Linked DNA regions of Lytechinus pictus. Each later gene encodes a partner of the first gene's protein in a complex. Links are inferred from orthologs where the notes say so. Each region holds a gene or a part of one and is shown on either strand. Other genes may lie near its edges. The genes, in order: U4/U6 small nuclear ribonucleoprotein Prp4-like, U6 snRNA-associated Sm-like protein LSm7 and small nuclear ribonucleoprotein G-like.

Region 1 (3,753 bases):
ACACCCCCCCCCCCTCACACACACACAGACACAAACAAAAGAGGGGGAGACTGACGGACACTGCACTGGCTCGTTTTGACTTACCGGTACTTTTATTATTATTTTTTTTTACTTATGCAATTTGTTTGGTTTTCTTTCTCTAATGAGTATTCTAGATAAACTTACTTGTTCATCCTCCTGCATCGAGGCTGCTAAGGGCAGCCCGTCAGCGACACGGGCTATCATCGTCATCAAAACCATCTTGAGAAATTGTTTATGATGAAAAAGAGAAAGGAATGGATGGATGGACTGGTCAACAAGACAACTGCAAGTGCAACTGTTCCTCAGGTTTGCCTACAGCAAAATCAATACGTGGAGCTAGTGATGCTGAACTAGGTTATACAGAGATCTTCTAAGCTCTCAGCACGTCGATTCCCGATGAGCGTGGATAGCTCTTCTCTTACTGCTTCGTTAAAACCTTGAGAAATGTGTCGAATATAGCAAGATAACCAAATGGTATACCTGAAATTCAATTGAAATCGAAATTCCAGGGTGGTATAGGATCTAAAAAGAGATTCATACGTGTACCACAAAATTAGCCTTATCTCAAAACGCACAGCAGAAACTTTGAAGATGAATTATCAATTTCGAATGCATAAATTGCATTTCTCAAAGATTTAATTTAGAGAACGCAACTATTTTGGAAGATCTTCAATTAAAAAATAAATAATACAATCATAGACGAAGTAAAACACTTATAACGTGCAGTTTTATTGAATTTTATAATACTATGACGTCTGGTATTGACCATGAAATCCGAAGAGGAAAAAGGTAAGAGAGAGTGGTAATGAATAAAATATCAATTTAAGAATCGTATTTCCAAGTATTAAAAATAAAATACGGGTCAATGATTTTTTTTATTTTTATCAAAAAAAATAGTTTAAAAATAATATTTTTAGACTTTTAAGTTTCAAATTAAAAAGAATTGAATTTATTTAATATATTTGAACCCCAAACATATTGTTGAAATTCTTTAATTGCAAAATAAACGAACAGTCAACTTTGTAGTGGCTATCTTCAACTACTTTGACCGACGAACTTCGAACGTGAGGAGCTTTCTTATATTTCGTATTACGTATTTCCCCCCTATTGATTGATAATGTACGTATTAAAATGAATATTTCACTGTTTTTTTATGTTAAATTTTCATTTTTATTCAATCAATTGAATAATGTCAAGTATATAATAAGTCTTGCCGTGGATGTGTGGTGTACCTGACTCAGCTCTGAATTGCGTAATGTATGTCCCACGTATTTAAAATTGCGTGGTAAAAAAGTTCAATTGAAGAAGGTGAAAATGGCAGAATGCATCTGATCTGGCAGGGCCGGGGCGGTATCACTCACACTAATACGTAACCCAGAGAGCTCCCGCCCGCGCAGCGGGCGGGAGCCCAGAAGCTTACCGTGTATTTTACCATTGTCACCGGACTAGGGTGATTTATGGTCTAAATATTTCTCAAAATGAATTGTGAAAACAGAAAGTATACAATCAATTACCACGATTATATGGATGAAGGTCTAACGAGTGGCAGTTTCCTGACATCTGGGCACAGACTGGAACCTCAAATAAACGAAAAGTTCTCTCCTCTACCCCAGTCTCGATCGGCCATTTTGTTACAATTTTTAACAAAAATGGCCGATCGAAACGGGGGTAGAAGGAGAGAACTTTTCGTTTTTTTGAGGTTCCAGTCTGTGCCCAGATGTCAGGAAACTGCCACTCGTTAGACCTTCATCCATATAATCGTGGTAATTGTATACTTTCTGTTTTCACAATTCATTTTGAGAAATATTTAGACCATAAATCACCCTAGTCCGGTGACAATGGTAAAATACACGGTAAGCTTCTGGGCTCCCGCCCGCTGCGCGGGCGGGAGCTCTCTGGGTTAACTAATACGAGGTTCGTATATATTATACGAACCTCGTACACCGGACCGTGTTTGACCGTAGATTTCGAACTAGTCGGCAAACATTGCTTCATTGCTGAAGTAATATTTGCCGAAACTCCTTCTCGCTACGCACCGGGGCTCTTTCCGGTAAGTAGCAATACATAACAAAATTATACATATGATATTTAACTCATTTCATTTAAAAAGAGCAAATTTCGCTTACCTCGGCCTAGCAAGTGACTTCGTTTGTCTCTTCTACGGAAATACAAGGAAGCCCGTTGGTGGCGCTAATAAATTTCACAACCTTGATTCAGCTCCTCGGTAATTTTATAACTGTGTCTAAATTCTTTGAATGCGCAATTCTTATGATTAATTTACTAATTATGGGCACCAATAAATAAAATAGGGTAACGCGCCCGGTATTCGGTCACCTCCCAGAATTCGGTCAGACAGCTGTTTCAACAGCTGTTGAAAAAAAAAAAATAATGCATGAGCCAGAAAACTTTGGCATATCATGCAAGAAACCAGCACTTCCAGCCCACCTCAAAAAAAATGTCGATTAAGACAAGCACACAGCCAAAAACTAACCTTAAAATTGACCGCGTCGGGGGGGTTTTGTTTACTTCCGGGTTTCTTAGCTATTGAGTTAAGCGGACGCAGCCTCATGTAAACTCTTGTGACGTCATGACTTCGTGTGTAGGTGTAGTGAATTTGGTACGAGTGTGAAGGGGAAGACTTGTGTGTTCACCCAGTCGCAGCGAATATGCAACTAGCAGTGAAACTGATGAGTAGCGAGGGCTTATACATTGCCCCTATAGTGAGAGGGCGCTCGACCAGAATTCGGTCGCGCAACATTGAGTGTTTTGCCGGTGTGTTTGTAAGGAGGGAAGAGCGTGCAGATACGTTGCTCCTCGCAAGTGAAACACTTCTCTTAATCCATTTTTTGTTCTGTTAGGCCTAAATAAGTTTAGAATATATCTAAAATTATTTTTCATGAATAAAAATCTTAAATCAAAGATGTTTATTGCCTATGAAAATGCAATTTGAGCAGGTGAATGACGATGGTGACGAAGTTGGTAAATTTGACCAAGGCTCATTTTGATTGCCTTTGCGTGATTGAGTTGAAGTCTACATCTTTCTCAAATGATAGGGCAAATGATATGCCTACGTTAGGCCTAAATAAGTTAAGAATATACCTACAATTATTTTTATTAATAAAAATCTTAAAACAAAGATGTTTATTGCCTGTGAAAATGCAATATGAGCGGGTGAATGACGATGGTGACGAAGTTGGCGAATTTGACCAGGGCTCATTTTGATATTGCCTTTAACGTGATTGAGATTAATTCTTAGTGATTTCCTTTTTGGCCTCAATAGTTAAACTGTGTTATTTTTTTAATGTTATCATAGTTATTTTCAATATTATTATTAATTTGAATAATACATCCGGTTCCAGGGATGATGGACCCCCCAAGAAAAAAAAATTAAAAAGGCTCTTCCACGAGTGTTATTTTAAAAGACGTCATTGCTAGATCAAAGGCTGGAAAATTGCCCCTCAATTTTGCCTGTCCCTCACATATCAGAGGTCTGCAGCTAATTTTTTTGGTCGTTTTAATTTAAAACAAGGGGCCTTTTAATATTGTCATCATTGCTAATAACATCAATCGAAAGTGGATGACAATGTTGACGAATTCGGTTAGAATTATCAGTTACTGTTGTGAATTCAATTGGAATTCAGTTGCCCGAGTTAGGCCTAAAGTGATTTATAGAATTAATAAAATGTTCCTTTCGTCTAATATTAATTTTAAATTCTTTGAGTTCATACTTTC
Region 2 (3,753 bases), on another chromosome or scaffold:
ACTCGCAAAGCATTTCGGGATTGAATATAACCACCTTATTTTCTCTGAGCTCTTCGCTGAACCCATCATCACAGTGCAGCTGCAGCGCAGCGCGCAGCCAATACAATGCATCCGATGCATGGGTTGTTTTTTCGCCGTCCATGCCATGGTCTCGGACTCAGAGTTGAAATTTAGACCCGGATTTCGGGGATACAGCGCCTTTATTTCAGATTTATAGACTTAAAAGTCAAATGACATTTAAAATTTGAAATCTAACCTTGAACAATCATCGTTGATAAACATCAGCCCTGAAGCCATTACACTTCAAATCAGGCCAGGCAAATTAGATGTCATTGTCTAAGTTGCTAGATCTATGACGAGTCGCCTGAAGCCCCAGCGCATCATCAACGTCACTAGCTAGCTGCGCGACCGGCCCAGACTCGGCGCACCCAGGCCAGAAAAATGACCTCGATTATTACGGTGGTTGTCTATGCATTTATTAGTGGTGCAGCGAAATTCAGCAGAAGAAAATAAGAGATATGAGGTATCCTCGTCACAGGCTTAATATTCCAAAATGAGGAAAAATGTCAAAATCATGATTATTTAAGCTAAATATTTTCTTTAAAAATGAAAGTAATATTTTTAATATTTATACCCAGAATAACCGATCTAATAATTGTTCATTAAAAAATATTTGAAATTAACAAATGAAAAAAAATCAACTCGACAAATTTCCCAAAACACCACCTTATTTTTTAAAGTGGTCACAAAATTCGAGCGGAGTTGACCTTCCTTAGAGCAACACGCTTGTGTGTTGCTGCCCTCTACGTTCGTTGGTTTGAGCCTTGGCCCTTGGCTTGACTACAAGACACTGTCACTGGCCTATTCCATCCCGTCCCAGGCTCCATGGAGAGTAAGCCTACGTCAGTAAATGACTTTTACTCTCTAGGAGCTTCCAGGCTACCCAAAACATTGAGTCTACCCTCTTGCTACTAGTAGTCGCCGACGTATTATAGCTATGCCAGCTAGTATGGTTACCTTCCGGGCCCCGGCGGCGGCCGGCCCACTTGGCTTAATTCGCAGTCCGGAGCTCTCTGGGTTACAGACACGTTATATTGAGCTACCGTACCGTATGGGCACTAGTATTCAACCCGGCATAATTCAAAGATTTTTACAAATTCCCCCAAATATTTAGAAATAGGGAATTTATCTTAATTTCATACCTCTGTTATTTCCAGGGTAATCTGTTGTCGGTATTTTCTTTATCGATCTGTCGACTGTATGCGCGGAGGATCGAATTATGCGGCAATGACCTTTTGCACTGAATTGCACTAGTATTCAACCTAGTGATGATAGACAGCAAATTTAAAAATGGTTTAGACTGCAATACTAGATCTAGATCTATGTAAGTCTCTGGCTTTGACTAATTCCCTGTTCGGTCTCATCTCAAATGGTCTAGTCCTTAGTTGGATGGGACAAGGACAGATTGAGAGACAGGGCCATCTTTCGTTGCTAGGTTGAATACTAGTGCCAAAAACCATTGCCGTATAATTCGATCGCCCGCACACACAGTCGACTGGTTGAAAAAAAAAAAAAATAACGCAAAAAGAATAACCAGCATTTGGTCTTGGAAATAACACAGGTCTGAAATTAAGGTAGAATCCATATTTCTATATATTTGAGGAAACTCTCCAAACGGGTTGAATACTAGTGCCCTTACGATACCTTACTGAGCTGACTGAGCTGGCTGAGCAGAGCCTGAGGCCGAGCACTCATTCAATGAACAAGGTTATGATATAACCTTGTTCTCAGTTATATCTCCATGTGTGGCAAAATAAGGGTGGCAATGTTTGGCTTATTTTCTCTTTTTCTTTGGGACAAATGCTTGATTTTTTTACACTGACAGTTTCCATTACACTTATTCATCATACAACTTGGCCCTTAAGTAAATTTGATTCTTTACATTATTTTTTTCTTAATTAAAGATAAAAATAATTAGAGATAAAAAAAATATAATTTTCTTGCCATATTACTTTCCACCAATAGAGGGCGTACACAAAAATATGCCCAGAATTCAAGGTTTTGAGCGCCCTAGTGAATACAAAAATTATTCCCAAGTTACTAATGAAAAATAAATTGCAACTGTTTAGAAATTAGTAATTTTGGTCACAAAAGTGATATTTTAATGATTTTTTGAAGTGTGTGCTCTGTACATCATTGGCATGCCATAGACCTACGGTACCTGTACTGTAGATTCCCCACAGGCAGGGATGGTTGCAGTGAACAAGTGAGGCCGAGTAACTTTTTATTCTTCCTTTTTCTTCCTCCTCCAGACTATGTCCTCTTAACAGTCCTATGCCATAAAACTAAGGATTACCATAAAAATTGTCATTGATACTACATATTAGAAATCAGATTAATCATTATTAAAACTTACTGCCATGGATGTTGCTTGGGATCTTTCACCACGACTCTTATTTGTTAGCACCAAGTACAAAGATTCATGTTATAATTTATGCGAATTGCACCGTATATACCGTATACCGTACTGTACAATACCGATACCGTACTACCAACGAACGTAGAGGGCAGCAACCACTGATCTGCTGATCTCCAGAGTTATCAATAGACAGAGTGGCGACACGCGCACTGAAAACAGGATACGCGCGGTCAAAGGTCAGCCATGGGGGGCTGATTAGTTCCCTCTGCGCGCACATGCAATTATTTGGCAATCATCGCTATTATCATAATTGATTGTCGACAAACTAGCCTAGGTCCGGAAGAAATGATAATGAATCTAATGTAATTTCTTCTCTTTGGTTTAGAGCTTCATGATAGATCCCCCATTTTGGTTTGTCTGGCATTATCATTAATATTATTCTAGATGAATTCCACTTTTTTATTGAAAATTAATGTGATGAATTATAGAGACTTGATTTACTCACCGATGAATGAAAAATGGAAATAAAGAGGAAAATAGGCAAATAAGGAATATGGGAACACGAAAAATTAACAAGGTGATGCTGAAGACATAATGGACTGGAAAACTCGGGGGAAGGGGGCAGCAGGGTGACCAGATTTCACAAAATGAAATACGGGACAATCGACAAAATAATCAACATAGAAGGCTACACATGTACAGTGTTATACACTTGTGAAAAAAATATAAAGAATGGGAAGGAAGGGTGAACGAAAGAAATAAGGAGAGAAAGAAAATGCGAAAGAAGGAAAAGATATTAATTGAGAATAAAGAAAAAAAATAAAGGGGAAAATGAAGGAAAAAATAAAAAAAGTTAGAATAAAAGGATGAAAAAGAATAAAAGAGAGAAAAAAGGTTTCCGTCATTCTTTGAAATGAATATAGAAAGAAAGAAAAAGAAAGGGAGGGAAGATGAACAAAAATTAATGTGTGAAAGACGAAATAAAGGAGAGAAAGAAAAAAAAAAGTAAGAAAATTAAAGGAGCGGAAAGATAAATGTTTCCTTCATTCTTTGAAAGAAACAATAAAAGAAGAAAAACAGGAAGGGATCGGGAAGCTAGGGAAGGAAGGAAGAAGGATGAAAGGGAAAGAAAGAATAAGGGAAAGGAATAAGAAGGAAAAAAAAATAAAGAATGAAAGAATTGGGGAGAAAAGAGAGGGAAGAAAGAATGAAGGGATGAAAGAATAAAAAAAGAGAAAATAATGGAAGGAGAAAAAGAACGAAAAGAAAAAAGGAGAGAAATGGAGAAGGAAGCAAAGAACAGTTTAAAGAAAGAAAGAAGGAAATAATAACAA
Region 3 (3,753 bases), on another chromosome or scaffold:
AAATGTGCAAGAACTGTTTTCTGAAAAATAGGTGAATCTTCAACATGTCACAACTGTCTTATTTTATAACGGGTTCGATGAAATTTTCAGCGTTATGCTTTTTAATATTTTGTTTATTTATTCAAATCAATATTTTTCTTTGGTGGCGAACTTGACCTTTATTAAAAGTCCGTTTGAACATTGGCAAGGGATAATCTTGAGCCTATACTGACGCACACAAACAACCCAGCACAATGCGTTCTGAATCTGTGGTACGACTATTATGCTGTTCTTTACTCATCTTCCGCACATTGTACAAAATAATTAATTCGAAAATATACCTGGCATCAAAATATTAAATTGAACAGAGCAGGGGCGGATCCAGGATTTTCCAAAGAGGGGCACATTTTCCCGAGGAAAAATTTGACAAGCAAAAAAAAAAAAAAGGATTTCAACCAAAATTCAAGGATATTTCGTCCACGAAAATTTTTGACAAGCAAGAAAAAAAAATTAATTTTTTTTTTCAACCATATAGAACATTTCGTCCACGGTCTTCACTTTTAAGGGGGGTGGGGCACACTTGTGTTTTAATAGCATCTTTAAATTACAAATTTTAATTGTGCCTCTCGAAAGGGGGGGGGCGCACGGGTCGGCTGTGCCCCCCCCCCGGATCCGCCAGAGGAACAGAGACCCTGAGAGAGAGAGAAAGAGAGATAGGCCTAATTGACAACCATCTTCTTCTTATGTTGGTTTGAGTGGCGAGTGTGTGTGTGTATTTGAGTTTTGTCAGACGTGTATCAATCAGATATGATTATTTACGTCTGGGACCGACCTTTAACGTCACTATCCGAAAGACGTGACCAGGGCTCGAACCTCGAACCTCTGCATCAATTTGTAACTTCCCCACAGCTTGGATTACAGGCGCACGCCACAACGCCTAGTGGTTGATTGCCGATACCATACAACGAAAGAAAAAAAAATAGTCTTTTGACTTCACAAATTCGGATCGTTTCTGCTTCGCCTTTTCGGAACCCAAACTGAATCTGATTTAAATCTTCAGAAATCTTTGCGATCTTCTCACCAAATCATGAGTAAAGCACATCCACCAGAACTCAAGAAGTATGTTTATATAATTTCTCGTTTTCAAGGAGTATATTGAAGGATAGCCCATTGTGTTGACTGTTAAATCTTTGCGCTAGGATAGCTGCTTCAGAATTAGCGTTTGGCGAATTTATGTGCGCTTGCCTTGATGATTATTTAGATTGGAAATATTTTGTAATATAATTGCATGGAATAATCCTTATAAATAGTGGTAGAGTCTAGATGCTACTCCGAAATGTGTTCCCATTCGTTTTTTGTGTTATGAATGTGATGTTTTCTTCCTTTTTCACACTACGCGTCTTGATCATGTGGGGCATCATTTGCATTTTTGATGGAGTTGACGGAAAGTCCCATTCATTTATTTTGATGTGGTGCGATGGGTAACGCGCGTGCAGTAGGAGGGGGTCCATTGACATTGTGATTGTCCGGACATTGGCGCTAATTGCAGTTTCGCAGCTTTCTCCACACAAGTTACTAGAAATCCCAGAAATTTGACATGTGGCTGTGAAGATGTGCTAGCACCAATGCAATGGAGCATGCCAGTCAATCATCAATGACAATGTAAACATGTTGATTCAAATTAAAAACAAGTCAAGTCAGAAAACTTGGATAAATGGCAAGTCATTATGCATTTATGGATGGTCGGGACTCAGGGTGACCAGATTTCACAAAATGATATATGGGACAATCGACAGCATGCTGCACGAGCGGATCAACAAAGAAGGCTACACATTGTTAGACTTGTGAAAAAATATTTAGAATTGGAAGGGAGGGTGAACAAAAGAATGAAGGAGAGAAAGTAAAGACGAACGAAAAGAGATGAATTCAGAAGAAAGAAAGAAAACAATGAAGGGAAATGAAAAAAATAAAAAGAAAGTTAGAATAAAAGAGAAAAAAGGTTTCCGTCATTCTTTGAAACGAATATAGAAAGAAAAAAAAAGGAAGGGAAGATGAATAAATGTGTGAAAGACAAAATAAAGGAGAGAAAGGAAAAAAGAAAGTAAGATAAAAGGAGGAGGAAAGAATGAAGAAAAACAGGAATGGAGGGAAAGAAAGAATGAGGGAAAAGAATTAGAAGGAAAGGAAAAAAATAAAATAAAGAATGAAAGAGAGGGAGGAGAGAATGAAAATAATAATGCAGGCCTCTACAAAAAAAAATTCATCACTTGCCCTGTCGGGCAAGTGATAAAAAAATTTGCTTGCTCGATAGAAAAAACTGCTTGCCCGATTTTTTTTCAAAAATTCTTTTGCTCTTAATTATTCTTTTCTGTCCTGGCTGAACTTGATTTACTGGCGCTGCCCTTGGCATTTCTTTTTCTTGTTCAAGTTGTTCTGGCCTTCATTCTTGGAAAGAAAGAAGAAAACAGGAAGGAAGGAAGAAAGGGAAAAAGTATAAGGGAAAAGAATAAGGACAAAATGAAATAAATAATGAAAGAAAGAAAGGAGGAAAGAGAGGGAGGAAAGAATGAAGGGAGGCCAGAATGAAAAAAAAGAAAATAACGGAAGGAGAGATAGAACGAAAATAAAAACGAGTGGAAGGGAGAAGAAATGAAGGAAATAAAAAAAGGAAATGCAATAAAGAAGGCAAGTAAGAGAAAGAAGGAAAGAAAGAAAATGAACAGAGAGAGAGAGGGAGAAAGGATCAGGAAATAAAAATAGATATGTAACAAAAAAGGGCAAGAAGGATAGAAAAGAAAGAAAGAGGAAAAAGTTCAAACTTCAAGCAATTAAAAACAATCCAATCATATAACAAAAATCCTAATGATATTTGGTGTTTCTTTTATATATAAAAAAAAAAAAAAAAACTAAAATGTTTTAGAAATGAATAAAATACGGGACGTCTGGTCCTGGCCGAGTCAGTCCGAAGCTTGCATGCATTCAGCGCGATCTAGCTCGAGACTCGGCTGGCTCGATCGCGATCGCTCGTGTACGTCCGTACATGCGCTCAGAGGGCGAGAGAGGGGTTTCCCCAGCTAGCTCCTTCGTCGATTAGTAGCGCATGCGCACATTGTAGTTTAGAAAGTAAGATGGCAGCCTCCATCGAACGGGACGCGTACCGCTGGCGATAAATTGTCGCCTTTTGTTGGTAAATTGGCGCTGATTTGACATGTTTCCACTGTTTTTTTACTGGTATGACATTGTATGAGAGATAATTGGCCGATAATTGCAATTTATCAAAAAATTATTAAACTTTACTGTCAATTTATCTTGTTCATTTTCAAAACAACCACTTGCCCGATCGGGCAATTGACTTTGAGAAATGCTTGCCCGCACGTCATTTTCACTTGCCCCGGGCAAGCGGGTTTGTCGCGCCCTGATAATGGAAGGAGAGAAAGAACAAAAAGAAAAGGGAGAAGGAAGCAAAGAAAAGTTTAAGGAAAGGAAGAATGAAGGAAATAAAAAAATAAATTTTGAAAAAGAAGGAAAGTAAGAGAAAGTGGGAAATAAAGAAAAATGAACACAGAGCTAGAGAAAGGATCAGAGAAGAAAGATAGGAAATAAAGATAGATGGAGCAGAAAAAGGGCAAGCAGGAAGGATAGAAGAATGAAGAAAGAAAGATATAAAAGAAAGAGGAAAAGTTCAAACTTCAAGCAAACAAAAAAATCCAATTGTCTAACAAAAATCATAATGATATTTGGTGTTTTTTAAATATATTTTTAAAAGCTTAAAAA

Evidence for each region.
Region 2: U4/U6 small nuclear ribonucleoprotein Prp4-like (region 1) and U6 snRNA-associated Sm-like protein LSm7 share a complex: the UniProt entries of both Homo sapiens proteins name them as parts of the precatalytic spliceosome. The link is inferred for Lytechinus pictus from reciprocal best matches to the Homo sapiens genes PRPF4 and LSM7.
Region 3: U4/U6 small nuclear ribonucleoprotein Prp4-like (region 1) and small nuclear ribonucleoprotein G-like share a complex: the UniProt entries of both Homo sapiens proteins name them as parts of the U4/U6-U5 tri-snRNP complex. The link is inferred for Lytechinus pictus from reciprocal best matches to the Homo sapiens genes PRPF4 and SNRPG.

The regions. Positions count from the first base shown.
Region 1 is NC_087259.1:20,214,704-20,218,456, forward strand, and holds the start of U4/U6 small nuclear ribonucleoprotein Prp4-like, read left to right. Parts: upstream 1-996; 5' UTR 997-1,085; exon of another isoform or gene 1,086-1,140; intron 1,141-3,753. Other genes in the region: vesicle-trafficking protein SEC22b-like, read right to left, coding at 166-240. UniProt on the Homo sapiens protein: Plays a role in pre-mRNA splicing as component of the U4/U6-U5 tri-snRNP complex that is involved in spliceosome assembly, and as component of the precatalytic spliceosome (spliceosome B complex).
Region 2 is NC_087247.1:61,096,660-61,100,412, reverse strand, and holds the start of U6 snRNA-associated Sm-like protein LSm7, read right to left. Parts: upstream 2,537-3,753; 5' UTR 2,423-2,536; coding exon 2,417-2,422; intron 1-2,416. UniProt on the Homo sapiens protein: Plays a role in pre-mRNA splicing as component of the U4/U6-U5 tri-snRNP complex that is involved in spliceosome assembly, and as component of the precatalytic spliceosome (spliceosome B complex).
Region 3 is NC_087256.1:12,712,898-12,716,650, forward strand, and holds the start of small nuclear ribonucleoprotein G-like, read left to right. Parts: upstream 1-929; 5' UTR 930-1,066; coding exon 1,067-1,098; intron 1,099-3,753. UniProt on the Homo sapiens protein: Plays a role in pre-mRNA splicing as a core component of the spliceosomal U1, U2, U4 and U5 small nuclear ribonucleoproteins (snRNPs), the building blocks of the spliceosome.